Alligator mississippiensis: one gene and its partners. The protein of the gene in region 4 purifies or fractionates together with the protein of the main gene of each other region. This does not show direct contact. Links are inferred from orthologs where the notes say so. Each region holds a gene or a part of one and is shown on either strand. Other genes may lie near its edges. The genes, in order: DPF2, BCL7B, CEBPB and SMARCA2.

Region 1 (7,198 bases), on a different chromosome or scaffold from region 4:
CTTTCCAGCACCCCCTTTTAAAAATTATCTTATCTTGTAATATTTCCCTTGCCAAACACTTTGAGAAAGCATACAGAGGAACATATTCTGCCTTCAATTATACACAGTGCGGCTCCACAGATTTTAACAGAATCACCCACTGGTCGGCTTGAGGGCAAGATCTGACTCCTGCTCCACAAAAAATGTTTCCTTAAAAGGTTTTACAAATACTGCTTGAGACACAGCAGGGGTCATGAATTAAGAACCACAGTGAGACAAGACAGGAGGTCTGGTTTCCAGTGTCATAATTTCCCCATCCTCCCCCCTGCCCCCTAAAAATACTCTCCCATCTTCCTTTGTCCATTTGGATATGAAGATTTTCAAAGCTGGGACTGCATTGCATCTGAGGACAATTTTACATAGCGGCCTGTTTCCAATCTTAGCTAACACCACAAGCAGAAGTTATCTAGCTGGCACTAACCAGAGAAATTACGCTCAAAACCCCATTTTATGGATGGCTTCAGCTAATACAATTACTTCCACCCCCATTGGCAAGAATCTCAGAAAAGAGTTTTGTGCTGGAAGTTATTACAATTAATTGTGGGGAAAGGAAATGGACAGGATACTTGGGTGGTGGTGGTGAGGGGGGACAAGGAATGGAAAGAGCGCCCCGTGAAACCCCTTTATAAAATTCCTGCCTGTTTTTCAATGACAGCAAGAGAGTCGCAATTTTTCCAGCGATGGAAACAAAGCGAGGCAAACTCGTGCCTTGACATAAAGGCTTCCTGAAAGGTTTGCACAGAGATAACGTGCCTTGGGACCGTTAAAACACACTAAGCCACAATCAGGAGACCAATGCTGTCTTTTTAAGACTGGGCGGCAGCTCCTCAGCATTTCAGCTATCCTCACCGCAAAGAGACATTCACAACTTTCTGCTCCAAAAAGCAAACAGCCACCCTTTTCATGAAAAATAAATACATTCCACCCTCATGTGACCAAGTGGATAATGCAATACTTTCTATTTCACTGGCTTTTTGAGCATCCTGACAACCCAGCAATGTACAAAAGGTTAGTCACTGATTGGGGGGGGTAGATATACTCTTGCTGGGGGATGCTGCAGTATAGATTTGGGGCCAGAGCGCATACTGTAGGGCAGCGACTGCCCACTGCAGAACCCAAGGACCCTTAGGATCTTTAATGCATTTTATCTTCACAAACCTCCTGTGAAGGAAGAGAGAGGTTTGAGATAACCGAGTCCAAGCTCCAGTCTCTATCCAGGCTGGGACTGCAGAATGGTTTTTCCCCCCTGTGGACTACAAGTTCCATGAGCCCAGTTTGCAGACTGGGACTGTGCTACAAACCCTCAGGCTGAGACTGGGGCCTGTCATGACAGGCACTGTTTAACCCTGCGAGGCACTGCCCAGTCCCCCAGTGAAAACCAGCCGCTGCCCGGAGTAACTCACTGTATAGACAAGACAGGTAAGTATCATTAGCCCCGTACCACAGCTGGGCATCTCGGCCTTAGGGGAGCACATACAGCGCCTAGCGCAGCCTTGTCCCAAGGCATTTTTTTTTTTTTTTTTAAGAATTCCTGCTGTTTGGTGCACTGTAAGGGGAAGAAACTCTCTTTTCACAAGAGAAAGCAGAAGCTTGGCTGAAAAGGATGAATTCTAGCAGAAGCACGGCCATCGATTAACCTCCAGGAGTTACCCCCGTGTCCCAAGTACTGCTCCCAGTGCGGATTCAGCCAGACTTTCCATGTTACAGGCATCCTTAGGACGCACTGGAGAAAGGACAAAGCTGGAGACGTTATGAAGGGAGGGGACTGAGCTTGGGTCCCATGCATCCCTGCCCCTCCCCATCCAATCCCACACCCCTATGCCATCCTAACCCACCCCGTCCCCAAACACTCATCAGTTCCAACCTGCGCATCTTCAGGGCAGATTCTGGCTGATTCACCATGATTTTGCAAGCCCAGATTGTGAGAACAGCACTGGAGCTCCCCCCCACCCCTTCACAGCAGGGTGATCTCTTCCTCCCTCGTCCCCCATGCCGCGGGGCCCCTTTCCCCCCCTTGGGGTCCTTGTCTTTCCTTCCACCCCAAGGATCCCTGCGGAGCTGCCCCCAGGGACCAGGGATGTTCTTCCCTATCCACCCAAAGGAACTTGATGGGAGGGGGCTTCACCCCTCTCCCTCCATAAGGCCCCCTATGCAGGGGGCTCAAAACCTTCCCCTCTCAGCTTCCTGCCCCCACTCAGGGACCTTGGGGAGAGGATCTGACACCCCCCCACCAACTCCAAGGGCCCAGCAGGAGAGAAGCTTCCCCCCTCTCCACCCCTAAGACCCCCACAAAGACCCTCTGGGGGGCTCCCCTTCCCCCTGCTCCCCCACAGAGTCCCTCCTGCCTCCCCGCCACCCAAGACCCCCTATGGGGGGGCCTCTTCCCCTCTAGAGACCCCCTCCCCCACGTCCCCTCCTAACCTCCACCCAAAACACCCCCTCCCCCACGTCCCCTCCTACCCCCCCACACCCCGTCCTAACCCCCCACCCCAAAAACCCCCTAAGAAGTGCCCCCCAGCCCCATCCCCACCTCCCCCAGAGGCCCCCCTTCCCTACAGGGCCCCTACTGCCCCCCACAACTCCACGGGGGTCCCATCCCCCCTCCACGGGCGCTACCAAGTAAGCCTGGGGGGGAAAGAGCCCCCCGTTCCCACGCATTGCCGGGCTGGGGGGGGGCAGGTCCTCCCCCCAAACTAGAACCCGGGCTGCGAAACTTTGCGCCGAACAATGAAAGCCCCGGAGAGGGAGCGCGGCTCCGTCCCTCCCCTTTCCGGCGACTTGGTCTCGCCCGGGGGTCCCCCCGTTCCATTTGCGCGGCTGAGGCCCGGGCTGCACCACTGCCCCCACCGGGGGGGGTGAAAGGAGGTGGGGGGCGAAACCACTCACAGCTTCACGACGTTCTGTACCACCGCCGCCATCTTGCCTCTGCCGCCTGGGCCGTGGGCCGCCCCGCGCGCATGCGCCGAGAGCAGCAAGGCAGCGAGGAACGGGGAGAAACCATCCTCCTATTGCGCACGCGCAGAGGCCTCCTCCCGTCCCACTCTTGATTAATAAGTACGCGTGCGCCAACTGAGAATCAGGCGCCCCCTCTACTCTAGTGCTGGGTCATCATGGCGCATGCGCCGAGGCTCACCCGCCTCTGCCTGGCCCTCGGCAATGCACATGCCCAGAGCGCGCGCGCTCGCCCTCGATGGTGTGGTACTGCGCATGCGCAACCCGTTGGGCGGGGTTGGGGCTGTTCTGGGGCGCATGCGCGAGAGGGAATGGGGTTAAAAAGGCGGGAAAAAGGGTGTGAGGGAGGGAAGGATAGAGACGTGATTGAGGGGAAGGGGGAAAATGGGGGGAATGACAAGAGCATTTAAAAAGAATGGAGGGAATGAGAGAAAATGGAGGGATGAGGGGGAAGACTGGAAAGATGGAGGGAGGAGGATAGACTGGAAGGAGAAGCACCGAGACTAGGTGGGAAGGATGATGCGTGATGGGGGGGGGGGTAGGCAGATAGTTGAAAGGAGGGACTGATCCCAACGGGACTCCCAACAGCCCAGTCCCTTTTGCCATGCAGGTCACTGGTGTGAGACAGGCCGATTGCTGCTGCCACGGGACCAGCAGTCCTCCATAAAGGGACAGAGCGGGCTGAGGGCATGAAGGGTCCAGAAAGCTGCCCTTGCGACACCTGCCCTGGACGTGCAGAGGATTGGTGCCGGGGTCTCTACTGGAAGGCAGGTGGTTACATGTTGCTTCATGCAAGGCAAACAAGGTAAGAATGCTGAAATGAATGGCGTTTTGGATGGCATGTGCACGCCAAGGGATAACTAATAGGAAAAAGCTTGTTGGGCTTTGACTCGAGGAGCAGCAGTAAAGGGAGTCTTGGGCAAACAGAAGAGACGGCGCGTTAACACTGGTATAATTCGTCTACACCGACAAAAAATCATACAGCGATCCACAGTGGACAGACAAGCAGTTGCCTTGGGCTTCCTGCAACAATAGGCAACTATTATGCTGCCTTTCCACCGGGTAGTAAGAGAACATGCAGTAGTCATGAACAAATGGGTAATCCAGGAAAAGCATGGACACGCACCAAGCTACACTGGTGTCTCTTTCCTGCTGCTTTTCCCCAAACCCCGGTAAGCACGCTGGCACAAAGGCTTACACTGCGTCTCTTCCTTGTTCACCCCAGCATAAAAGCAGTTTACGCTGATGTAAGTGTGTTGGATCCAGACCCAGAGGTAAGTTGTGTCCTCAAGAAATGAGACTCTTGTTCTCCTCAACAGCGCGTGCATAGATTGAGTGCTCTGCCCTCCAGTCCATTGCATGGGTTACGAATGCAGGACTGCTGTCCCCCCGGGAGGCCGGAGGGACAGCCCACACCCTAACAGAGTCATGGAAAAATATATTCGGAGCTGTTGACTCGCCTGCGTTTGGACAGTGATAAATTATTCAGGTTTGACGCTGGGAAAGTTTTGCTCCTGTATTTGGAAGGTAAGCAGCCGCAGGCTGGTCCTCAAAGCAGCAGAACAGAAAAAGAAGGTAGTGGGGAAGGGAAATAAATGGGAAAATACTAAAATGTGAGTATTTAAGGACAAAACACATGGTTAAGTAGATGAGGTTCTGGCCTAGACTTTAATGGCATGGTTCAATTTCTAGCTTAGTGATACATTCCTTGGGTGAGCTGCTTAGGGCTGCTCTACTTGGAGTGTGAACTTAAACCACGCCGTCTGCCATGTTTGCTCACATACAACCCAGCCTAGAATAAAATTCACATCTTGTTTTTTGAAAGGCAGGCTAAAGAACAAAACCAAACGTTTCTTGTAGTAAGTAACTCGGTAGCAGCAGCAAAAGAGCTGAACCTGCTCTCTCTTCTGTTGCCTGTAAGTAGTATGCACATCTGACTTTCACTTTTGCCTGGTAAGGCAGAAACTCTTCTTACCTTATTTCTTGTATATAAATTGCACTGAAATTTCCAACATCTCTTTTGGAGGCATGGTGCATGTTGTATGTGAGGAAAATATGGTATTCCTCATTAACTCTTGCAGACTAAGACTGAGGAGGTATAATCTATTTTCAAAGTGAAGTAAGCAGCCCCTGCAGAGTCTCACTGAATGCACATTAAGAGCATCTACATGTGGGGCTAGTGCGGAGTAGCTAGTGCACCATACATTCACACCCATCTTACTGCATAGTAACGTCCCAGGCTTGTAATACCCATCTCTAAACATGTTGGGTAAATCATTCCCAATCTCCAAGGGGTGGGTGTTGGAAGGATAACAACCTATGAATGCTTCTGATGTGCTCAACTGCTGTGGGCCCAAGGGTCATAATTGGATCTTGAACAGAGTAAGTAACTACACGGGCAGCTTTGGGCCAAAGTTCTCACTCTCTATGGGGTAACATTTCTGTGAGTGAAAGTATATTGCCTTATTGCGAGCATGTTTTCTGCAGCACAGCTGCACCCGGCCTCATTGTGACACTTCCTTGGCTTGCTCACTAGGAAAGATGAGAACAACCACATATTTGCCCTGCCTTTTTTTTTTTTTTTCCCTTAAATTCCATTACTGATCGTAGGTTCCTTCCCTCACCCCTGCCCTTCCAATACACAATTTAGCTCTTTGTTTCAACTTTCCCCTTCCCAGCTCCCCAGTAATTAATTTTGCAGTTGGAGTCTAATGGAAGGGTCTCTGCAATGCCATTTCAGCTTGCGATCGGAAGGGGGTGCCATGGCCAACCCCTGTGCTGTTCCTGTGTCGGAGGTGCGAGTTTGGCGGGACAGCCTTTCTCTGCTTTCTCATTGCCAGCCAGGATGGCTAAAGTGAAGTTGTTGAATTTGCTTTATTTTCCCGAAACGGATTGGCTGCTCTTTCATTTTTCCACAGTGGGGTTAAGAAGGCATATGAAAGCACCAGGCTCAGGAAGTGCAGAAACTATTTGGCCTTGAGCTATTTGGCTAAGTCATCCCTTTTCCCCAGGCAGCCACACTGCAAGTAGTTCCTTGTTCCCAGGCAGCTCTGCTTCACACCCACTAGATTGCCACATGGTACAAATGGCTTTGGGAACTTCAGCCAATGGTGATAAGCAGTGGGGTAGTTGTTCTAGCGCAAACCTCCAGGCTAAGTACAGACAATCAAAAAGCCCAAGGCTGAATCAATTCAATCTCCACGGATTAGTCTAAACTGTGTAAATTGAACCGATTAACAAGTGAACAGACATTCACTTTTGATTCCAGAAATGCAGCCATGTGCCTGCAGTGGCCCAAGCCAGAAGCTGGGTGGGGGTGAGGGGCGCCAGAGCACGCCTCCCTGGTCTGCTGGAGCAGATGGCTTGAATCTGGAGGGGATCTGGGACAGAAGTTCAATAAACCGAATTAAATTAGTTAAGTCTGATACTATATCCATCCAGGTTTATCTTATACTGGTTTCAGCCATTTTGAAAGTGGTTTATGGGCACTGAACTTCTGTTGTGTTACAGATTTGAACCGGTTTCCAATTGCTTATACCAGTTTGTGTAATTTCTGTCCCTAGCCCCAGGGTAGACAGACTAAATCACTGTAAGCACAGTGTGCACCTCTGCACTTTCCACAGCTGGATTTAACAACACTGGTGTATATATAGTAGCTTGCCTGCCAAAAGTAATGTTTTGCAGTAGGAGCAGGGGCAAATATCCAGCGCAGAAGAGGCCTGTGACTTCCACGCTGCAGAAACCTGGGCAGGGATGTCTGCACCCCTCATTGTCCTGCCTGAATGGAACGCTGTTTCCTTTACGAACAAAGTCAGAAGCACAATACTTGCATTCAGTGCCACACTTCATCTGCTTTGAATGCCCAGCTGACAAAATGCATTTCCCCATTTCTTTCTTTCCTCCATCTGCATGCTCCCTGCAATTTTTTTTTTCTTTTTTTTTCTACGTGGCCTCTTGGCATCTCTGTTTTTACTCCCCCTCGCTAAGAATTTGTCTTCCAGCCAGCTAGCTTGCCTCCTACGTATGAAGTTACATGGTGAGTCAATACCACAGTCATGATTGGAACCCTGGAGGTCCCTCCATGTTGCAACCATTATAACACCCTTCATCCAAGAGTCGGGAAGATACATTTGTCAGCTTCGCTAACCAAGGCATCCTCATTAGAAGTGGAATTGAAAAGAATCTGCAGTCCCCCCCTCATTGAGTC
Region 2 (7,497 bases), on a different chromosome or scaffold from region 4:
TGGCAGAACCTCAGTCATTGCAGAAAAATGAAGCACAGATAGGAAAGGGGATGTAGGGAGCTCTCCATCCCTCCAATTATCCAAAACATTCCCTATGATGCCTCTTGCTGGAAAAGAAAGGGAAAACCACAGCTATAATTACTCATTTTATTGCTTTTCCATCAGACGCCAGTAATTAAAAGCTTCACCATAGATAATCCTAGAAGCCTAATGTGTTAAATCAACATGCCTTGTAGAAATTCACACTGCTCCCACAGAGATGTACAATACGCAGAATCTAGCAACCCTTTAGCTCCTGGAAGTCCCTTTCAGTGTGAGTGGTGGAAGTGCCCTTTCCCTGCCTACCAGCACACTAGCAAAGTAATGGGATGAGGCTGAGCAGACTCACCCTGAAACTCCAGGAGGAGGGAGGAGTTGGCAGAGGTGTCAGCTGGGAAGCCATTGGATTCACGTGCCGCGTTGCTACTTGATTTGGATTTCTCTTTCTTGAAGGGAGAAAGAGAGAAAAAAACCCCTGAGGTTAAAGGAGTTTACTGTCAACAGGTACAAGGGAGAGACATGAACCAAAGCTTCAGAGGAAGCTGCCCTCCCTAAGGACACAGCTGCCTTCTCTCTCTCCTCTAGCCCTGGCAGTAGCACTTGCCAGTTCAATTCATTCATCACTTCAATGTACCAACCCAGGCCATAAGCACAGTGATGAAGACTAGCTCATAACAGCCATAAGGAACCCCTGCCAACTACACACTGTTCAGGCATGTTCTTCCCCAGCCACAGTGTGGAAACCTTTAAGCTCTCTCCTTACATAGGCTCAGCACTTACCTCCTTACTGTCTGCTACAGGCACCCACTTGAATATCCGGAGAGAAGTGTCTCCAACTGTCACCCACTTCTTCTCCCTACCACAGGCCAGGAAAAAGATTAAAACTGACGGAACAAGCAACCTCTGGCAGCCACACAGTCAGTGAAGCATTTAAGGGGTTGCTTAGTACACAGCCATGTTCCTCCCCCTCAGAAAGGTAATCCAGTTACCAGGAAGTTCAGGATCATGCCTATACTGCTGCTTTTCCATAAACTTACCAAGGAAGTTTCAGAAAAAGAGTAAAACTGACAGTCCTACCAGTAAAGCAGAGCCTGCCTGCAGTGCCCCCATGGACTTCCATACGGCTATGTAAACACTCGGCTAGGATCAGGGCTATTCAAACCCTGTCTCACTTCTTACATTCTCTGCCCAGTCAGATGAGAGGATACTGGCAGCTTCTCTTTATACTAGCTTTTACATTAATGTATTCCTATCATCAGGGCCCGGGTGGGGGGGGGGGGGATGTAATCAGACCTGCACTCTGTCCCTGGGGCTGGCTAGCAGGGTGAGAAACTAGACCCTCCCCAACACGAGTAGGGGAGTGGTGTCTAACTAGGGAGAAGGGCAGGCAATGGGCAGGGAGGGTTTGCAGGGGTCAGTGAGCCAGCTGCTGCATCTCATGTCCTGCAATCTAAGCTTTTGGTTTTGAAACAAATTCTGCCTCCAGCCCTTAAAGGCAGCACTGACGATCACATGGGCTTTCCCCTCCACAGACTATGCCCGCTAGGGGTCAGACCTCTTCACCTGTCAGAAAGATGCAACTATTCTCTTTTACAGCAGCATGACAGTTAATTGCAATATAATCAGTGCTGCGGGGGCAAGGATGGTTTTTGTCGGAGCACTGTAGGTCCCCCTGAAATACCACAAGAGTCCTCGTTACATAATTGGACGTTAAATTCAATATTCATGCTGCCCTCCCGTGTTCAATGCGGGGCGGGTTCCTGTATCAATCGCTGCGTTATAACAACTACCAGCAGGGAAGAAGCTCGAGGTTTTGGCTGCTGCGGATCGGGACCGTTCACACCGTTTCTCATCCTTGCTGTTTGGGATTGTGGGATAATCTGTAACCAATAACCAGGATGTCCCCAAAATGCTCAGCAAGGCAGCGAGTAGCAGCACGCGTGTGGGCTCTCCATGTGCTAACCGGGTTTCTCACCCAGCTCGGGGAGGCGCCGCGCGCGGTGGCTAGTCCCGAGCTCACGGATTGGCAAGTTCCCTGTACAAGCGCAGCGCGGGGAGCAGCTCGGAGCAGGCGCTCGGGGCCCGTCAGGAAGCGAAGCGGAGCCCAGGGAACCTGCTGCGGCTGCAGCAAGAGAGCCCAGAGGAAGGGGCTGGAGCTCCGCACCAGGGCAGAGGTGACCTGCCACTGGGAGGCGGCTCCAGCCACTGCCTGGGGCCCGAGTGCCTCCCCCGCTCGGGCAGGGGCCGGGGGCCGCCCGGGAGCGCCATCTTGTGCGGCCCCAGGCCGGGGCGGAGGGGGGCGGCGGCGGCTCCACCCCGCAGGAGTTACTCCTGCTGCCCTCGCTTCCGCAGCGCCCCCGAGTCCCGCTGAGCAGCACCAACGACCCGGCGACACCTCCCCCCCTCCACCGACCCCGGAGCCCGGCCCGGCCCCGCCCCCACCGCGGGCAGACGCGGGGTAGAGGTGGGCGGGTTCCTCCTGCCCCATGGTAACAATAGACCCCCCCCTCCCCCGCCCTCAGCTGCGATTGGCCTGGGAAAGTGCCAATCCACAAACGTCTCTAAAGCCACGCCCTCACCGCGTGGGTTGGACGACGATTGGTTCCGGCACCTGCCAATCTGGCCACCCTTCCTGTCCTCACCTTCCGCAAGCCGCAGGTAGCAGCGATTGGGCGCTCCCCATTTAATCCCACCCACCGGCCGGCACAGCTCTCTGATTGGGTGTTCTTCACTGGAGGGCCTCCGCCGAAGCCCGCATGGCACAGTGATTGGTCGCTTGCCTCGAGGCCCCGCCCCCCCGGCCCCGCCTCTCACCATTTGCGGACGCGCTCGATGGCCGCCATCACTTTTTTGATGTCATCCTTGGCGCGGCTGCGGGTCTCGGCTCGCACCGAGCGGCCCGACATGGCGCCCGCAGCCCCGGCAGCCTCGGCTCCGCAGCACCCGCCGCCGCTCCCGGCGCATGCGCGCGACCCGCCCTATCCACGCCCTATGCGTAATACGTCAGCGCGCCCGCTGCGCCCGAGGGGAGGGAAGAGCGGGGTGACGCAGTGCGCCTGCGCGGCGCAGCCGGCGCCTGACTGACGCGCGTGCGGGGAGCGGCGCCAGGGCGGGGGCGCTGCCATGTTGCGCAGCGATCCTCGAGTCCCCGCCCCCAAGCACGCATGCGCGGCACCGCTGCCCCGCCCCGCCCCGCCGGGTCTCAATCCCGGCAGAGCTTCCCTGGGTCGTGAGGAAGCGGCGGCGGCGCTGGCTGCTGCTCGCTGGGGCCACGTGTCCAGACCGTGGCGTGTGGGGCCCGCTCCTGGCCCGAGCCCGGCCTCCAGGTCCTGATCCGACGGGCAGAGCCCCACCGCACTGGTCCGCGGCGCTGGGGGGTCTTGCTGGACTGCAATTGCAGAGGCCGCCCCTCTCCCTTCCTGCTGCGAAGGCCCCACGGGGGCAGTTGGAGAATAATGGTCCACAGCGATTAAGGGCAAAACACGTATTCCACTATCCCAGTCATAAAACCGTCTTAATTTGCTGCCTTCGTCCATATTTAACAATTTTAATGGAGGGTGACAAATCATTAAAATAAGAAGGAAATTGGACATTGGCAGAATCCATGGCATTTTTTATGTAATAAAAAAGTAAGAACTGAGAATCAAAATACAGATATGGATAAATAATCCGAATACAAGATTAAAGTATGCAACTTAAATCAGGGTTTCTTGACTACCCTTTTACAGTAACATTTCACCTTTACGGCTGGGCTGCATCAACAACAATGTTCAGAGCCATGTTTCAGATACTCTCTGAAGTCAGCAAATCGGTCATTAATAGCGCCACCACATTGTGCACAGCAGCACAGAGCACTTGCATCACATGGTATTGGGGGAGATTTGACACACTGCAAAATATTAATAGGAAAGGAAGAGGGGTCAACCCTAAGTTCAGGGGGTGGGGCAGCCTTGTGACAGTCATGCCACAATAGTCCCACCCCCTCCAAGCACCAGTCCAGTCCGCCCCTCTGGACCCTCTGGTGCTCTGCTCTTCATCTACCCTCCCTTCAAGTGCTGCGTGCCCTATAGAGGTTGTCCACATCACTTGTGGCACACAGACCATAGGTTGGCCACCCCTGCATTAGGTCATATCCAGCCTAGGATCCTATTAGTGATATATTTGTCTATGGCAGCAGAACTTTAGTTTTAGTGTCTCCCAAAACACACTCGTGTCAGGTTTCAGGGCTCATTAAAACCTAACCTTAAAACTAGAATTCCATCCCACACAGGATCCCAGCATGAACTGTGCACCACAGGGCTCAGTCACCCTGACATTTAATAGGGGCACACAACCCACAGAAAGTATTTGTTTTCAACACCAAGTGCCTAGGCCCTATTGGCTGATGTATACTACACACCTCTGTACAGAAACACTATTGTACTGCAGAATCCCAGGCTACTTTACTACCTCTGTTTCAAAACCAGGATATTTTAAAATATCCATTAGCTTTTAGCTGCAAGTGCAGATGGCAGGACCTGCCCAGTAGAACTGTTCTGCCATCACTGTAAGTGGGAGTAAAATGTTCTGGTTTGCACATAAGGAACGGAACAGAGATCCCTTATGAGACACTTCCCTGTTCATCCTGCTAGTATTTTAGTAATATACTGTCCTCTCTGTGTCCTGTCACCAAAGTAATCTGCTGCTGCATCTCAAGATGCAGCATGACCAGTAACAAGATACAGAAGACTACACTCAGCCCCAAAGGAATCTCATTTATAGTTCTAGTATTAACATTTAGAAGGAAAAAATAATTCTGTTGCCAAAGATGTTGAATCACTTTCCCAGAGGCGAGTTACACAACCCCAGTAAGCATTAAGAACTGTTTTTTTGTAGTCCAAATTCAGGCAGTCTGCCATCTCAAACTAAATGTTAGGTTTACTGCTCACTGCTGTTTCGCATTTTTAGCATGCCAGCAAGCTTTTGCTACATTCCAGGCCAATAACTTAGATTTTTAGCAACTGTGAGGAGTTCCAAAGTTTGGAGCAAGCCCAGAAAAATCTCTCTCTCTCCCTAGATGCGCTTCACCCCCGCAAAGCCATTTCACAGCTCCTTAAAAGGCATTCATCATCTGTGCTCTAACTACCTCACACAAGAACTACCCTCCCATTTGGTCTGGAACCTCATAACATAGCTCAGGATCAATGAAGTTTTAGGGTAATTACAGGCTTCCTCCCCTTCAATCTTCCCTAGGCAGCTACTTCCCATCATATGGCCTCTTTAAACCATCTCCACCTCTGCCACTCAGCTTTCCAGCTCTCCAACTCTGTTTAGAAATACACAAGGGAACCCCAACGGGTTGAGCAGTCTGTACATTTTTATTAGCACTCAATTCAGTATTAAAATCCCAATAAATGCAAAGTGCAAAGCTCCCCACCTCAGAGAGGTTGCACATACACTGATCCCAGTAGACTGAGGTTAGTCCTTCTTGGCTGAAATACTGTCCAGTGCACTCTGAGCATCTGTGATCTGCTGCTGCAGTCTCTCTCTGGTGGCCATATTAGTAGCTTTTTTCAGCATCCCTTTCATTTCCTCCATCACAGCCCGGTAGCCTGCTGTGTTGTGGAACACCCGAATGGCCCTGTCTCCACACGACACCAAGTAACGACTGTTAATATCAAAGGCCAAGTCCGTGATGTACTCTCCGTGGACGTTGAGAAAGCGCTCCTCCTCCTCTCCCCTTCGGGTGTTGTACATAATGATATTAGTGCCACAAGAGATGGCCATTACCCGGGCATCGGGGGACAAGGCAATATGACAAGGCTCAGACACCTCACATTTCCCTGTCAGCAGCAGATAAGGATCTTGTTGCTTCTTATACTCTATGTCAGTGTCCCACAGCTTCCATGTGCCATCTTTTGAAACTGTTGCCATCCTACAGCAAAAGAGACATGTCCACGTCAGGTGCAAGGAGCAACACAATACCGTTCCCCCTTCTCCAGCCCCTGCAAACTGCAGACCCTACCAGGAAAGAGGAGCCATTCTCCTGGATACTGCATGCCATGATGGCTTGACTGGTGACCTGCTAACTCTGGTACCCAGGGAAATGTTGTATTGAAGGTGGGGGAGAACAACCATGCACCAGCAAGAGGGAAATCTGAACTGGGGAGTAAGAAGGTGGAAACCTTCCTTGGCTTGGCAAGCAGTCTCATCAATGCCAACATGCTGTCACAGATGAGCAGACTAGACAGACATTTGACAGGGATGGTTTAGTAAGGGATGATCCTACCTTCAGCTGGGAGTTGGACTAAATATGACCTCCTGAGGTCTCTTCCAGCCCCTACTTTTCCTAACTTTCTTATCAGTCAGGATGGAGCGATTCAGCACATGGTGCTTAGAGACTTGCAGTGCTGAGGAAGGAATCTCTACTGACTTATTACTCCTTTATGCTGGAAGAGATCACCCAACCAGTCACAGGGAAGATTATACTAGACAGGACATGATCTAGGGCAGCTAAAGGGCATCTTACCGTCTGGAGTCATTAGAGAATGAGAAAGAGTACACGCCAGCACTATGGCCTTTCAACTCAAAAGCCCTGACCACTTCTCGGAAGTCTCCACTCTTGCCAAAGCACACTTCCCAGACCTTCACATCAGGGGTGAAGCCACAGGATGCCACAAACCTGGAAGAAAGCCCAAACAGGACATCAGTCAAATGATGCTAGACCAGGCAGAGTGCTTCACTGGGGACAGGATGCACTGCTGTTGCTCCCTTATTTGTCTGACTGTTCTTTGAACACGCTGGGGAGATTAAAGGTAGTCAGGTGGGGGAACCCAAGCAGATGTGGGTATTGCAAGAGCTCAAGATGCTGGCTGACCCTATCAAGAGATCTGAGTTAACATCCTGGGTTCTCGCTAGGGAAATAAGTACCGTTTGTCACCATTTACACAGTGACAGGTGTATGGCACTCCAGGAAGTCAGTATGGGACAGGAGACTGTAAGAAGACTGCTCCACAAAGGATACCCAGGGCATGGTATGCTTTGAGACCAGCAAGGGACACCCAGACACCTAGAGTTCACATTCCCAAATGCCCTGAGACAGGGTAAGTTCATACAACATCACTGCTGTGACATGTCAGTGAAAGACTGTTACAGACTTATCTTTGCTAAAGGTGCATTACTTGCTAGGAAAAGCTTGTTCTCATCTACTGCAGTTACAATTAACCTGGACTCAAAAGTTCAAAGACATCTGCTTTGCTCTTTTGGTTGCTACATGAGCCTGGATGCAGTGCCAGTGCCCATCATGTGTGCCTTCCAAAGGGCAGTAAACTGGGGCAACAGTATTGCTGAGGCACAAGTCAGTGAACAGGTGCTGATGGTGAAGGTGAGAAGACCCCTAATATGCTAGATACTGCTGCTCTCAAGGTTCCCAAATATCTTTCTAACTAACCAAGCAGAGGAACATAAAACCTTCCATGA
Region 3 (7,151 bases), on a different chromosome or scaffold from region 4:
CTGTAAGCAAAGCCTCCTCCTTCCTTGGTCACAAAGTTCTGCCTCCATCCATGCCTCCTTTCTCCTTTACCTCGGTACCCCACAGACATATTCCTGACCCATCCTTCCCTCCAGCAAACACGTACATGCACTTTCCAGAGGAGCAGCACTATCAGCACTTTGTTAGAAATATGTTGCAGAATAAAGGCCCAAAAGAAGACTGTAGGGAGAGCTGTTCACATGCATCTCACCTCAGCTGGGTTTTGTGGTAGGTGTCTCAGTGCTGACCCAAAGTTCCCGACATTCAACACAAAAATTCTGTCATCTTCTGGTTTATCCCTGTAAACTACAGGCAGCAGCAATGCCGAGTCACATAACCGAGAAGCAAGAAACCTGCTTTAAAAAAAAAAAACAAAAAACAATCCCCAGAAAACCCCCAGGCAGCAGCAAAATCAAGGTATTAGAGGAAATTCAAGGAGGCAGCAAGGGGGAACTGGCTCAGACTCCCAGGCTCGGCTCTTCACCGGTTCTCTCTTAGTCTTCTGCTGAGTCACGGAGTCAAAAAGAAAAAGTTCTGCTCCTTGCTCTCACCAAGGCAGGCCAGAGCGCGCCGATTCGTTCTGCCTTGACAGTGCCTTGAAAATAAAACAAGCACCTCTTGTTCCTAGCCAGAAAATTTATTAAAATTGTTCATTAATGCTTCGACCGCAGCAAGAAGGCATAGATCCCAAAATATACACACGCTTTCTTATAGAAATAGATTACTCTTTATAATAAAAAAACAAAAAAAAGTAGAAACATCTTTAAACAGATTACTCAATTCATGACTGACAGTTACATGAGATTGCATCATGTCCACAGCATTCCCAGCCATGTTTCAAGGATTGCATCACTCTCTGCTCTCTCTCCCTCTCGCTCCGTTTTAAATAACTCTAGCATTCACCAGCCTGCAGAGATCGTGCATCAGGAAGGGGGGGAAAGGCGGGGGGGGGGGGCAGGAAGGGGGACTTTGGCTGCTGTTGAAACAAAGCAATGGCCCCCAGGAAACACGGTTCCTCCAGCAGGGATGGAGGAGCCCAGGAGCTCCCCCTTTCCCAAGGAAGGCAGAGGCTGGGGTGGGGGGGTTCTCCCGCCAGCAGGTACATACAGACACCAGCAAAGACAGCTCAAGGCTCTCCCCGGGTCTCCCCTGGCCCCAGTCCAGTCTCGGGGGGGGGGGGGGCAAGGAACAAGCAGCCACCCGACCCCTCATACACACACACACATCCCATACAGACATATATACTCCACACACACATCCCTCACACAGACATCCCCCCATATATAAACACACCCCCATACCTACACACACACGCACTCCACACCCCTATACAGTAGACACAGACTCCATACACCCCCCAGACACCCCTCACACACACAGAGATCCATGACATCCCCATGCGCACACACACACATTCAAATAGAAACATGCTATGCCCCATGCACACACACAGTCAGACGGATACAGGACACCCCCATGTGCACACACACACACAGATCCGTGCCATGCCCCATGCACACACAGTCAGACGGATACAGGACACCCCCATGTGCACACACACACACAGATCCGTGCCATGCCCCATGCACACACAGTCAGACGGATACAGGACACCCCCATGTGCACACACACACACAGATCCGTGCCATGCCCCATGCGCACACAGTCAGATGGATACAGGACACCCCCATGTGCACACACACACACAGATCCGTGCCATGCCCCATGCGCACACAGTCAGACGGATACAGGACACCCCCATGTGCACACACACACACACACACACAGATCCATGCCATGCCCCATGCGCACACAGGCAGACGGATACAGGACACCCCCATGTGCACACACACACACACAGATCCATGCCATGCCCCATGCGCACACAGGCAGACGGATACAGGACACCCCCATGTGCACGCGCACACACACACACAAATAGATACAGGCCACCCCATACACATACACACACACACTTGCGCGCCCCCTCCCCGCGGGCGCCCCCGCCCCGCGCCGTGGCCGCGGGGCCCGGGCCGGCTAGCAGTGTCCCGCCGTGGCCAGCAGGGGCTCGGGCAGCTGCTTGAACAAGTTCCTGAGGGTGCTGAGCTCGCGGGAGAGCTGCTCCACCTTCTTCTGCAGCCGCTCGTTCTCGGCCGTCAGTTCCAAGACCTTGTGCTGCGTCTCCAGGTTGCGCTGCTTGGCCTTGTCGCGGCTCTTGCGCACCGCGATGTTGTTGCGCTCCCGCCGCAGCTTGTACTCCTCGCTGTGCTTGTCCACGCTCTTCTTGCCCTTGGCCTTGGCGCCGCCGTAGCCCGCGGCGCCCGCCGGCTTGGCCGCCTCGGCCGGGGTGGGCGTGCCGGGCGGGCTGGACGACGAGGACGTGGAGAGGTTGCCGCTGCTGCCGCTGGGCACGGACTGGTAGCCCAGGTAGGAGCGCGCCGCGCTGCCGTAGGCCGCCGCCATGGCCCCGCCGTCCTCCTTGCGGCCGCCCTTGCACGAGTCCAGCGTCTCGAAGACGGGCGGCTCCGCCTTGGCGGGCTCGAAGCGGCCGGGGCCGTGGCCGTGGCGCGGCAGGCCGAGGTAGGCGTAGTCGCCCTTCTTGGCGCCGCCCTTGTAGTCCTCGGCGAAGAGGTCGGAGAGGAAGTCGGCGCCGCCGCCGCCGCCGCCGCCGGGCTCGAAGCCGCCCCCCGCGGACGGAGCGGGCGCGGGTGCGGGCGCGGGGCCGGGCGGCGGCTCCAGGTAGGGGCTGAAGTCGATGGCCCGCTCGTGCTCGCCCACGCCCGCGCCCAGCTCGCTCATGGGGCGGCCGCGCGGGTGCAGCTTGCTGAGCGCCGCCAGGCAGTCCGCCTCGTAGTACAGGTTGGCCACGTCCATGGGCTTAAAGGCGGGTGGCTGGAGCGGGAGGCATGCCGCGTCCCAGGCCACCAGGCGTTGCATGAACGCGAACGGCGGGCGCAGCTCCGCAGCCTGCTCCGGAGCCTGCTGGGGACGCGCTGCGCTGCGCTGCGCTGCCCGCCGCTCACTGCCCGCGGCTCCTCCTGCCGCCGCCGCCGCCCCGCGCTCGGACCATCCGGCCGCGGCCCGCGCCCCACGGCTCTGACTTGGGAAACTTTCTTCGCGCGGGGATTTATAGGCGCGGCGCTGCCATGGCAACAGCCACGTCATGGCTGGCGGCGAGCCGCGCGCTCCGCTCCGCTCCGCTCCGCTCCCGGCCCCGCAGCGCACCGCGCCGCACCGCGCCGCGCTCAGCGCCCGGGCGCGGCCAGCCCCTGTCCCGGCGGGCAGGTGCGGACCGTCCGGCCGGGCAAAGGGAGGGAGACCCCGTGGCTGCGGGGACGGGACCCCGGGCACGCACACAGGCACATGCATACACCCGTACACGTGTGTATGCCCACACATATAGACACCCATACACACACACATAAACCCGTACACACAGGCACACACACACACCCGTACACACACATACATGTGTGCCCACACACATACACACACACACACACACACACCCTTACACACAGGCATGTGCACACACACACGTACACACACATACACATGTGCATGCACACACATACATGCACACATACAGACATCCTTAGACACATATGTACACCCGTACACACAGGCATGCACACACCCCCATATACACACATACACATACATGCACCCTTACACACATATGTACACCCGTACACACACATGCACATGCATGCACACACACACACACACACACCCCCATACATATGCCCTTACACATACTCATATGTCTACACACACATACCCATACACAGTTTCATAGTTGTTAGGGGCTGGAAGGGACCTTACAGATCATCGGGTCCAGCCGCCCTGTGCTTGGGCAGGAAAGACTGCTGGGGTCATCTGTATTACTGCAAAGGAGAAAACCCACCATATACACACCTGTACACACATACATGCACAGACACACATTGACATGTGTACACATGCACACACAGACATATTCACCCATACACACATACATGCACACACACACACAGGCACATACACACACACACCCCCATGGCCCATGAGACACAGAAGCTGCCCTTGTGCCAGGAGAAGCTGGATCCTTTGAATGTGACAGTGTTTGAAAGCACCGCTTATGTGTGCCCTCCAAGTACTGCCCAACGTTGGGTGAGTATCCTTCTCCCCATTTTAGATTTGGGGGGGGGGGGGGGAACTGAGGCAGGGCCTGGGGAAATCAGGACACAGAGCAAGCGATTGATCCAGGGTCACTCATCAAGTCTGGGGCAGAGCCACACACGGAAACTAGATCTTCTTATTCCCAGACCAGTTCCCAGCTCAGTCTGTCACCCTGACAGGCAAAGCTGCTCCGTGCAGACATGCTCGTGACTGGTTATGACAACGAGCAAAAAGGTTATTGCTGTGGAGTCAGAGCAGGGAAGGCCCCGCCACAAAAGCCACCTCTGAACTGGAAGCATCTAGAGTGTCAGGCAAATCCCAAACTGCCCTCCCCACCTCTGTGCGGGAACTGTGGCCTCAGAGTTTGGCCTGGCGTGTTTACCTTGAAGGGTATGTTGCAACTGTCAGGGTACACAGGAGATACAGAGCTGGGCTTTGGAACAGCAATCTGCAACCAGAATGACTGGGGAAAAGGCAACGTACATACACAAAGCCATGGGATACGCTCTTTCGTTCAGCAGGATCGACCCAGAGGAGCCATAGCGAGTTGGAGAAGTGAGAATGAAACTCGATTCCGATTTTAATTAAAGACACCCTTCTTGGGAATCCAACTTATATTTTCCTTCTTTTACTCCCACATTTACCTGTTTACAAGCTGGTGATTCATGCCCAAAATAAAAGACATCAATTTAAAACAAAACATATAATTAAAGGAAGTAGGAGTGTCCTTTGCCTCAGCAAAGAAGACCCAGCACTGCAGGGAAAATGACACTGCCTCTTAGTCTACTGTGAAGCAATCCTGCGGTGTGGGAAATATTGTAACGTTAAGCCAGAGGAACAGGTATTGCATTATACGATTCAAACAGTCAACTGTTCACGAATGTTCCAACCTCCGGACTTCAAAAAGAGGAAGGATTCGAAAATCGGACTTTCTTTTTTTCCTTTCGTTCTTTTGCTCGTTCTTTCGTTCTTTCTTTCTGTTTCATCTGGTCTTGTAAACTGATTTTCTTCCAGAGTAAAGTACGCTGACAGGTTCGGAGACTTCACATATTTCCTACTGCACATCTCTGTCATTCAGCTAATGTTTGGGAACTGTGCATTTCATAAAAAGGGCGTTGAGTTGTGTGGCTGGGTCTGGATATTGTAGCGAGGGGACATCCATCTACAAATATAAACTCTCCACAGGATGCAGATTCTGGCAAGTTGTGGTGAGCTGTTCACATTTATCCTCCTGATTCCTGACCTGACAGCTATAGCCAATTGCTGCCGTACATGGTACAGTAGCTGAACACATCACAATCCACTTTGTTCATTATCCATTTCTAAAATGTCCCCCTTTGCAGGCACCCCTGGAGCACTTCTGGTCTATCTTGGTATTACATTTGCTAGGTCTCTGATTTACCGTAACCATTTGATAAAACTAGTTGCCAGTAAAAATCAGCTTGGTGAGCCTGTTGGATCTACCTGGGAAGTCTAACGCTCCCCTGCTTGGACACCTGCCTCCCTCTCCACTGCTTGGCAGCAGCTTGCTGTGTTCTAGTCTGGGCCTGCTTGTCCCTCACGAGGTTGATCCATGTGTAGCTCTGTGAGACCTCCATATCAAGCTGTGTGCAAGCCATGCCTTCTCCCTAGCTATCAGTGCTAAGTGGTATTGTTTGTGCTAGAAACATTTTAACCACAATGGTGATGAAGGTCAGAAGCTCACCTGATGCCCTGCTGCATCTTTTTCATCCCCTACACCAAGTTTTGGCACACTGATTTTTCAGTAGCATGGCAGAGACTCTCTCTTGCTGGCAGAGACTAAACACTTTGTCAAAAGCCTTACTGTTCAATGGCCCAGGTTTTGACCTGTGTTATCTGCACTGGTCAGTGCTAATATGGTGACTTCAAGTAGGGTGGGGGATGATCTAAACTATAGATATGGCCAGATGGAGACTTTGATTCATGCTATAGTCCCAGCCTGCTAAGTTTTGTCTGGAGAATGTCACGTCGTAGCTTGGCTAGATGTGCACAATAAGCCTCCTAAAGAGCCTTTGCTCTGGAAACCTGCTCTTTGCACATGTTGAGACACAGACATTCCTCCTACTGAAGAGCTGGGCGCTAGCCCTTGCTCCAAGAAGAAGTGGAGAGAAACAGCACTTCTTACCAGGGCTGCACAAAAAGTTTTCTGTCCAAACATTTTCTGCAAGCAATCAGGTTTCTCACTCCATGGCTTTGGTGGGAGAGGCCTGCTTTCCTGGAAAATGTTTCTGATTTTTCATTGGGAGATCAAGAGCATTCAGTTTGGCGGCCAAAAGTATTTCTTTTTATTCAAAAAAGAAATTAGTTTCTCAGTAAGAAGACAGAAGTTCCCTGGAGAGAAACCCAGTTTTCTGGCCAGCTCTTGCTTCTGACTCAATAAACTACAAATGTTTATGGCTTCACTTGACTATAGATGCAGACGCTGGAGGGTGAAACAAGGATAATCTAAAAGGGAAAAGGTGAAGAGAACAGCATGTCCTGATCTGCTGAACAGAGCTCACTCCTACTTTACCACCAGGCCTTGGATCCTGCTCCCTAAGCTGCTGCAGGACAGGAACACCTGGACTCCCGGTGCATTCTCTTCCCTGGATCAGACCTCTGCTAAAACCTTGCTGAAGTTCCCCTCCTCAGAGGCTCGCTCTGTACCTTTTTGAGTGGTTCAGGATCTCTAGTTCTGCATTTCTAGTTCTCCCAGTCTGACCCATGAGTTCATGTCAGCTTTGGGCAGAGGATGTTTGTATGATGCCAACAGATCAAAGAGCAGAATATTTGCCAGCTGGGATTAAACTAACTATTCTCTTGAGAGGTAAGATGGAGTCTGGCTAAATATCACAAACACTTCTCATTGCAAGCTGTCAATGTTTATTATTTATCCTTTGAATTGCAGTAGTGCTTGAAGGTCTCAGCTAGACCAGGGTCCCATTGCATTAGGCAGTGTTCAAACTGATAG
Region 4 (7,822 bases):
CTTTCTCTCCTATTTCCTTCTCTACCATCACAATTATATATTACAAGCTGATATAACTACATCTGTCAGGGTTATGAACAGTTGTGATCACTGACCAGGATGCCTGTGTTGACAGATGCCTGTAATACTGGTTATATTGATAAAACTGAACTTTCCCCAGTAGAGTTTCGGAGGTTTATCTACTGTACTAGTAAGGGAGCATCCAGATATTCAGGCACATGTGGTTTGTGGTGCCACAAGCCTCTTTGCGGCACCACAAAGGACACTCCCAGAACATTAAAACGTGTTCTGTGCTGCAAATTTGCAGTGTGAGGGCAAACTTTCTTACTGGGGAACTCCAGTGGCAAAAACAAATTCTGGGGAAAAAAGCAGTGCAGCGCAAGCATCCATAGCGTGTGCTGGAACACACGGAGGGCTGGCCATCTAGAGCAATGTTCTGGCTGCCAGTCAGGCTCCATGTTGTCAGATCTGCACCCTTGCTGCACCAGGACACCAGGTAATACTGCTAGGGCCAGCACAGGTGCTAGCCCTGTCCTCTCCTACCCCTACCTGGGACAATTTGCTGTGTGCTGAAGCACATGTATAGGGGCATGCGATGAAGCACAATGCAGCAGCACAAATTTCTGCCACTGCTACTTGTGCTGCTGGAACCGCGTGCCCCTGCATGTGGGGACATGCCCATAGAGTTCAATTTTGCTGGTATAGTTGGGTCTATGCTAGGATTTGACAAGTTTACTAAACTGGTATTCTTATATTTGTAAAATTCTCTTAGAGTCTTAGGCCAGGTCAAAAGTAAAAAGCTTTGTTGATGTAATCATTTCCATTCAGAAATGTGAATAGACTGCAACCTTTAGCTGACGTAGCTATGCTGGCAAACCCCTTGGCATTGACACAGATGTACTGACAGAAGAGGACTTCTGCTACCTCAGCTTACATTGTTTGGAGAGGTGGTGCAGCTATTATGGCAGAGAAATAACTACAATGGGCTGATGCTTCTGTCTTTGCTAGGGGGCTCTGTCAACAAAGCTACTTTGGCATAAATATAATAGCAAAGGCTTTATAGTGTAGACAAGCTCTTAGATATGCAGTACAATTCCCAGGTGGGAATGGCCTTATTCTGAATATCTACACAAGAGCACTGCGTCAATTATACTTCTTTGTTTCTGCCAACAGAAGTTTTGGGAGCAGGCAACAGTTACCAAATTGCCAGAGTAAGTCCAAATCCAGGCACTTCTAGCAGCTCCTGACAGTAAAATGTGCTTTAATCTACCAAGTAAACCACAAGGGACACTTGGCAGAGTGTTGGAGGTAAAGTTATATATATTTATATTTTTGCAAAAAACAAAAAGACAGTTGTGTTACTGTTGGTGGTGTGCAAAGTGTCCCTGGGATGAGACTGCTGTTCCAGAAGTGGGTACAGGAGCACTTACAAGTATTGTCTTGATTCTGGTAGCAGAAACATTAGTCTCTTTGGACTGCTTGGTTGTCTAACTGCAGACAGAAAGGTGGATGCTGCTGCAAAGGCCCCTGGAATATGTACGCATTGTAAATGTAGGGATGTAAATGCAGCGTAGACATGGTCTGAGATGGAAACTTTCATATCACTGTAGCTTCTGGTTCATGTAGACAAATTTCAATTCTTTCTACAGTACATGAGGCATCCTGAAGCATTCATTCACTTAGGTGACCTTAACATTTTCCCCTTGGAGGAAATGGACAAGAGATGAATCAGTTTAAGAGTAATTTACCCTTTTAATCTGTAATGGGTGATTCTGTGCATGCAATTAATCCAAAGCAATAAACTCTGGAGTAGTTTACGCTGGAGTCAAATAGTCCTGGGTGCAGAGTCTACACATGTGCCTGGGACAGCAGCCATTTGAGCCAGGGTGGAGCCAGGGTGGCACAGTTTATGCCAGAGCTGCAAGGGAATGTCTCTCATTCCCTTTGAATCTCACTGTCACACATTTGCATTTTCACAGAGCTGCATTTTGCATATTAGCTTCTATTCTATCCAGGAGAGCACACACACCAACAAACTCTCCCTATGCCTGAAGAAGGGTATTTGTGCCTGAAAGCTTGCAAAAAACAATTTTTCCAACTATTTAGTTCGTCTAATAAAAGATCTCACATCTATTCAAAAAACCTTGTCTGCCTATGTCTTTAGATCAACATGGCTACAACCAACAACCTAAAGTCCATAGGCTGACTTCTTGAATGATTTCATCAACTTCAGTCCAGTTTTCTTTGCCAACAGACTATGTCTGCAGTAACATAAAAGATAGACTCCATCCCCTTGATACCAGGCTATAGAGAGATTAAATTATACTTTATCAAAGTCCAACAGGAAAAAAAAAGCCTTCAGCTTGACTTTACTTTAACAATATATCCATTCAACATCTTGGAGTTCTCATAGCCTCAAACAAAATCTGCTGCTGTATGTTTTCCAGCAAACAAAAAGTAATCAGCGCAGTTACCCCTAACATCAATTGAACACTTTATTTTGCCTGAAAGATTAATTTAATATTCTTTGCCCTCGCTGTATCCTTTCTACTGAAAGCAACGGCCATTTGGTTTGATTTCTGCTGAGTTCAAGGCCAATGCAGGTGAGCTGCCTTGCATACAAGCTTCCCCTTAGGTAAGGCTTGTTTTCTCCTCTGCAGAGATAAAGGGCAGAAGGCCTGCAGATTTGCTGTGGAAAAAAAGAAGTGGCTTGTATAATGGAGGGATGATGTTTAAGGAAGGAAAAATACCCTGCATTGGTGCTCTGCTGCTTCTCACAAGCATGTTAATTACATTCTTTTATCTCTAAAATGCTGGATTGTAAATCATAGCCATAGACACAAAGCTAAGATTGAGATGCCCTATTCTAAGTAGATTAAAAAAAAGTTACAAGCACCCTTTGCTATTGGGTATTTGATCATCTGCTTTTTTTTTCTCCTTACAGACTCACAGTTTCCCATTTGCATTCAGCTCTATCATTTCATTGATTTTGCTCCCCAGTATGTCTTTCTTATAGATACAGTTGAACCACATGACAATACCTGCTTCCTCTTTTGAAGAACAACTTTTTTATTGGCTACTTGGGGTTGTACAGTCTTAATACTGATTCTCTTTGGTGCAGTTATCTTTTATCATTTTGATGCTCACTTTAAAATAACTAGGAAGCTCAAGTTAATGATCAAGTAATAAGATCCTGGAAAAACTACAGAATCAGTGATAATTAGCATTGTACACCCAGCATTATAATTGGGCCATTACAAATCCTAATGCTACCAGCAAAAGACCAGACATGTAAACAATACCTGTCACTTAATGACCATATGGAGCATTCAGCGCTCCCGGCATTGCTTCAGGTCCTTAACTACTCCAGTTGGTCGCTAAGATCAGTAAAAAGAAACTGCATTTCAAACACCATTGCTCAAATATATAGTGAGTGATTTTAATATTAGAATTTCTCTTAACGTGAAATTTTACTCTAGGGCAGCAAATAAAATCCAAAACAAAATTTTCACGCTGCACTCAGAATGACTGATTCAAGATTCAAGCCCATTACATTTACATAAAGAGGAACAGAATCAAGTAGGGTTGGGTTTTAATTTTCAATCAAGTGACTGTGTTATTCAGACTGTACAATAACAGGCCTACCAAACTTAGAGATCTTTTACAACACTGTTTATTAAACCATCCCTTCTGTAGGTCTTTTTTAGATCTTCATTAAACCTACAGCTCAGGTCAGTGGACTGCGACTGCACAATGCTGGGCTTGTCCACTGGCAAGGCTGGAAGCAGATATATTGGAAATTCTCAGGGGGAAAAGCATAGAGAGACTGTGGAATGAAGAAAATGACACTACTGACATGTCCTGACCCTAAAAAACAGATCTACCCCTCACTTAACACAGACACAGCCTTTTTGGTCACGCAAGTGACATGTGACGACTAGGTTCGTTGGGGGCTCCAGCTCAGACACAAAACAACCAGGTCTTCTGAAGGAATATTCTGTAAGTAATAGCCAGCTGGGCTCCTGGAGAGGCATCTTCCTTCAGGGGCACTCAGGAAGTTGAAAGCCCAGCTGACTGGCAGATACATCCAGCTGGAATGTTCTCTGATGCCTTCCCCCCCCCAGCTTTTCCCACAAAAGGAAGATCTAAGTGGACTTGAATAAAAAAGTTTCTGCTTGTGTGACAATAATGTCCTTCTTTTTCTTCTCTGCCCCCCAACATAAACACCAGGTACAACCAGCTGCCTCCAGTACCAGTCAGCTCGCTCCTCCCCATCCTCTCCTCCCCCTCCATCCCTGCAGGCTCGCCCTGGCAGGCACAGTTACATTCCAGCACCTTCCTCACCTTCCCCCCAAAGTACTATTATTACTATTACTACTCCACCATCCATCTCTCTCTCTCTCTCTCTCTCTGGCGTGTCTCTCCGCACAGCCCACGCACCCCCCAGCGCGCCCAGGAGCATGTAAAGGGGTAGGGGTCAGCAGGCTGTGCCCCCCACACTCCCTGCACCCCGTCCCCGGTATGTGTGTGTATATGTACGTGTGTACATGTATATGTGTGTGTGTATCTCCCTCCACATTCTTCCACATCCCCTCCACAGGCAGCTGCTTGAGTGACACCCCCCAGCGCCAATCCGCTGCCCCCCCAGTTGCGGGGGGCGGGCCCGCGTGGCGCGGCCCGCCCAATGGCTGCACGCGGCCGGAGGGGCGCGGGGGCGGAGCCCGGGGGAAAGGAGGGGACGGCTGTCATCAATGAAGTCATATTCATAATCTCGTCCCCGGCGCGCGGGCGCTGCACTCGGGAGGCTCGCGCACACGGAGCGGGGACCCCGGCGGCGCCGCGCGGCTTCCGGGCCAGGTAAATAGGGGCTCGGCGCGCCCCGCGGCCGGCTCGGCACCGCCTTGCACCCCCCGGCCCGGCCCCCAGCCCCGGCCCCCCTCCGATCTCCCCTCCCCAGGCAGCAGCAGCGGCAGGAGGAGGAAGAAAGTTTGAGCTGCGATATCTTTTTGCAATAAGGACCTGGAAGAAGGACCCCCCTTCCCCTCCCGTCCTCTCCTCTCCTTCCCCCGCCCGGTCCTTTGCTGCCTGCCTCCCCCGGGTTCCTGCCTCGTGAGTCAGGCGATGCAGGAGGCGACAGTGCCTGCAGCTCGGGCTCCGGGGACACAAATGGACAGCGGGAAGCTGCAGCCCGGGGCCGAGGGGGGCCGGCTTGTCTCCTTTCTCCCCGCCCTCACCTTGCAACCCCGGGGGGCTCTGCCGGGGGTGGGAGGGAGGGGGAGGTTGCCTCCTGCTGGGGCTGAAGTTCCCCGCGCCCTGCTCCGGGGCAGCAGGAGGGGCCCGTGCGGAGTGGGCTCCTGCCCATGCCCGGTGTTTGGACAGACGTGCTGGGGAGGGGGGGCGCGGGAGAGGAGCAGCAGCGAGCCGCTGAGCAAAGGAGGCCATGAGCAGGATAATCTCCTGCTTGACTGTCACCAACATGACACGCGCAGGGGAAGGGGGGGCAGGACTTGGGGAGGGGGGTGCTGCAGCCCCTCCTGTTGCCTCCTCCCATCTCGGCCGGGCTGTTGTGAATTGCCGGCGGTGCCCTCCGCCGGGGACTGGAAGGTGTCGCGATTCACTTCCTAAAATAGCTCCTCTCCCTCCAGCCCTGCTCGCTGCTGCTCCCCCCCCGGCCTTGCAGCAGTGGTACCAAACAAGCGCTGGCGAGATGCCCCCCCCGGCTTTCAAAGCCACCGGCCCCCCCCCGGCATTTTATTTCCGGTAGGCACAGAAAATGTCAGTCATTTTGTTTTCTGGGGGGGAAGGGGGTGGCGCTTTTCTCTTCCTGCTGGCACGGATCCGGGGCTGGGGAGCTGGGCGGGAGGTGCCCCAAGTGGGAGGGGGCTTTGGAGGTGGGGGGCAGAAAAAGTTTTTGGGTGGCTGATGAAGTGCAAAGAGAGAGAGAGAGGGAGGGGAAATGGAGGGGGAGTGGGGATTTAAGCCTCTGTTGCTTTTGGTGGCTGGGGCTTTGGAGGGACACAGAGAGAGGTTTTGTGTGTGTGTGTGTGCGCGTGTGTGCGTGCACGGTGTGGAGCAGCATTGACAGAGACTCAGGAAGTCACAGCACAGGTTTAGGGTGGTTTTGAGGGTTGTGTGTGAGAGAGAGGTGGCTGGGAGGCCTGGTGTGTGTGAGAGGGGTTGTGTGTGTATGTCTGTGGGGGGGTTGTGTGTGTGTAGCAGCAGCAGAGAATCAAAGTCACAGCAGAGGTTTGGGGGTGTGTGAGAGGTTTGGGGGTGGTTGGGAGGACTGGTGTGTGTGTGTGTGTGTGTGTGTGTGTGTAGCAGACGCAGAAAATCAGGAAGTCACAGCAGAGGTTTGGGATGGTTTGGAGGGGTTGTGTGCGTGTGCCAGAGGGGGTGGTGTGTGGTGTGTGAGTGAATGTAGCAGCAGCAGCAGCAGAGAATCAGGAAGTCGCAGCAGAGGTTTGGGGTGGTTGTGAGGGTTGTATGTGTGTAAAAGAGGTGGCTGGGAGGGCTGGTGTGTGTGTGCGGGGTTGTGTGTATGTGTGTGTAGCAGCAGAGAATCAGGCAGTCGCAGCAGAGGTTTGGGGTGGCTGTGAGGGTGCGTGTGTGTGTAGCGGCAGCAGAGAATCAGGAAGTCCCAGCAGGCAGAGACAGGCGCTCACACACGCACACAGGCGCGCACAGACATGTTTGATCAGTATGACACGATGACGGAGGGAAGCCGCGCAGCGGAGAGCCGGGCCTAGCTGTGCCGGGGGCCGGGCTGCCCCCTCCCGCCCGACCCTGCTGCCCGCTCCCCCCCGCGCGGGCGGGAGCGCTCCGGGCCGAAGGTCGGGGCCGGGGGAAGGTAAAGCCCCGGAGCGGGCCCGGGGGAGCTCCGCTGCCATGGCGCGGGCTGGAGGTGGAGGTGGGAAGGGGGGCGGGGAGCGGGGCTGGCGCTGCTCGGAGCCCGTCGATCGGCGCTCAAACTTTCCAGAAAGGCAGGGGGAGCTGGGGGACGTGGCCGGGCTCCGGGTGCCTGCACTGCATGTCGCTCGGGGCCGCGGGATCCGTGCGCTCCAGCGGCAAAGTTGAGGCCTATGCATTTCCCCAGCGTCCCGGAAGAGTCACTGGAGGGGGAGCCGGAGGGGGGGGGAGGTGTTGGGAAGGCCAAAAATATATACAAAAAAAAAGCAAAAAAGCTGGCAATTGAATGGAGCCAAGCGGAGGGGGGCGGCGGGAGGGGGGACGGGACTATCTCCCAATCTGGGATCGGAGTAGAGATCTCCAGGGGGCTGAAGTTAGTGTGCCTGCAAGACATATGGCCCTGCCTCCCCCTCCACCACGTTGCATTATCTCCTTGCTGGAGGAGCCTTCTCTGGGGCCCTGGCTCTGTGTGTGTGTGTGTGTGTGTGTGTGTGTGTACATTGTGTGTATACACATGTAGTGATGTGTGTGTATATGTGTGTGTGTAGTGTGGTATGTTGTATGGGTGTGGGGTGTGTGTGGTGTGGTGTGTACGTGTGGTATGTGAGTATACGTGTGTATGTGTATACATGTGTGTATGTGTGTGGTGTGTGTGTATGTATAGCATCTTCATTTTCTTTTCCTCCACAGGGATTGTGATAGTATGAGTATGTGTATGTATGTATCTATAGTGTCTTCATTTTCTTTTCCTCCAACAGGTTTGTGATTGTATGTGTGTGTGCATGTATGTATGTGTGTACATACAGTGTCTTCATTTTCTTCCCCCCAACAGGACTGTGATAGTGTGAGAGCAGCCAGTCCAAACCAGCCAGGGGGTTCCTGACCCAGGAGGGTTTTTTTGCTGCAGTGTGCA

What was found.
Region 1: the proteins of SMARCA2 (region 4) and DPF2 purify together in Homo sapiens (affinity purification with mass spectrometry; 6 studies listed by BioGRID and IntAct, counting the BioPlex papers as one, with this or other methods). This does not show direct contact. The link is inferred for Alligator mississippiensis from reciprocal best matches to the Homo sapiens genes SMARCA2 and DPF2.
Region 2: the proteins of SMARCA2 (region 4) and BCL7B purify together in Homo sapiens (affinity purification with mass spectrometry; 3 studies listed by BioGRID, with this or other methods). This does not show direct contact. The link is inferred for Alligator mississippiensis from reciprocal best matches to the Homo sapiens genes SMARCA2 and BCL7B.
Region 3: the proteins of SMARCA2 (region 4) and CEBPB purify together in Homo sapiens (affinity purification with western blotting; 5 studies listed by BioGRID and IntAct, with this or other methods). This does not show direct contact. The link is inferred for Alligator mississippiensis from reciprocal best matches to the Homo sapiens genes SMARCA2 and CEBPB.

Annotation. Positions count from the first base shown.
Region 1 is NC_081838.1:4,099,338-4,106,535, reverse strand, and holds the start of DPF2 (zinc finger protein ubi-d4), read right to left. Parts: upstream 3,065-7,198; 5' UTR 2,958-3,064; coding exon 2,926-2,957; intron 1-2,925. UniProt on the Homo sapiens protein: Plays an active role in transcriptional regulation by binding modified histones H3 and H4. Is a negative regulator of myeloid differentiation of hematopoietic progenitor cells. Might also have a role in the development and maturation of lymphoid cells.
Region 2 is NC_081837.1:29,540,713-29,548,209, forward strand, and holds the start of BCL7B (B-cell CLL/lymphoma 7 protein family member B), read right to left. Parts: upstream 3,042-7,497; 5' UTR 2,946-3,041; coding exon 2,854-2,945; intron 896-2,853; coding exon 820-895; intron 486-819; coding exon 389-485; intron 1-388. Other genes in the region: TBL2 (transducin beta-like protein 2), read right to left, coding at 5,497-5,953, 6,548-6,700. UniProt on the Homo sapiens protein: Positive regulator of apoptosis. Plays a role in the Wnt signaling pathway, negatively regulating the expression of Wnt signaling components CTNNB1 and HMGA1.
Region 3 is NC_081832.1:13,203,752-13,210,902, forward strand, and holds CEBPB (CCAAT/enhancer-binding protein beta), read right to left. Parts: upstream 3,106-7,151; 5' UTR 2,957-3,105; coding exon 2,057-2,956; 3' UTR 638-2,056; downstream 1-637. UniProt on the Homo sapiens protein: Important transcription factor regulating the expression of genes involved in immune and inflammatory responses. Also plays a significant role in adipogenesis, as well as in the gluconeogenic pathway, liver regeneration, and hematopoiesis.
Region 4 is NC_081826.1:191,852,844-191,860,665, reverse strand, and holds the start of SMARCA2 (probable global transcription activator SNF2L2), read left to right. Parts: upstream 1-4,754; 5' UTR 4,755-4,857; intron 4,858-5,663; exon of another isoform or gene 5,664-5,760; intron 5,761-6,301; exon of another isoform or gene 6,302-6,850; intron 6,851-7,822. UniProt on the Homo sapiens protein: ATPase involved in transcriptional activation and repression of select genes by chromatin remodeling (alteration of DNA-nucleosome topology).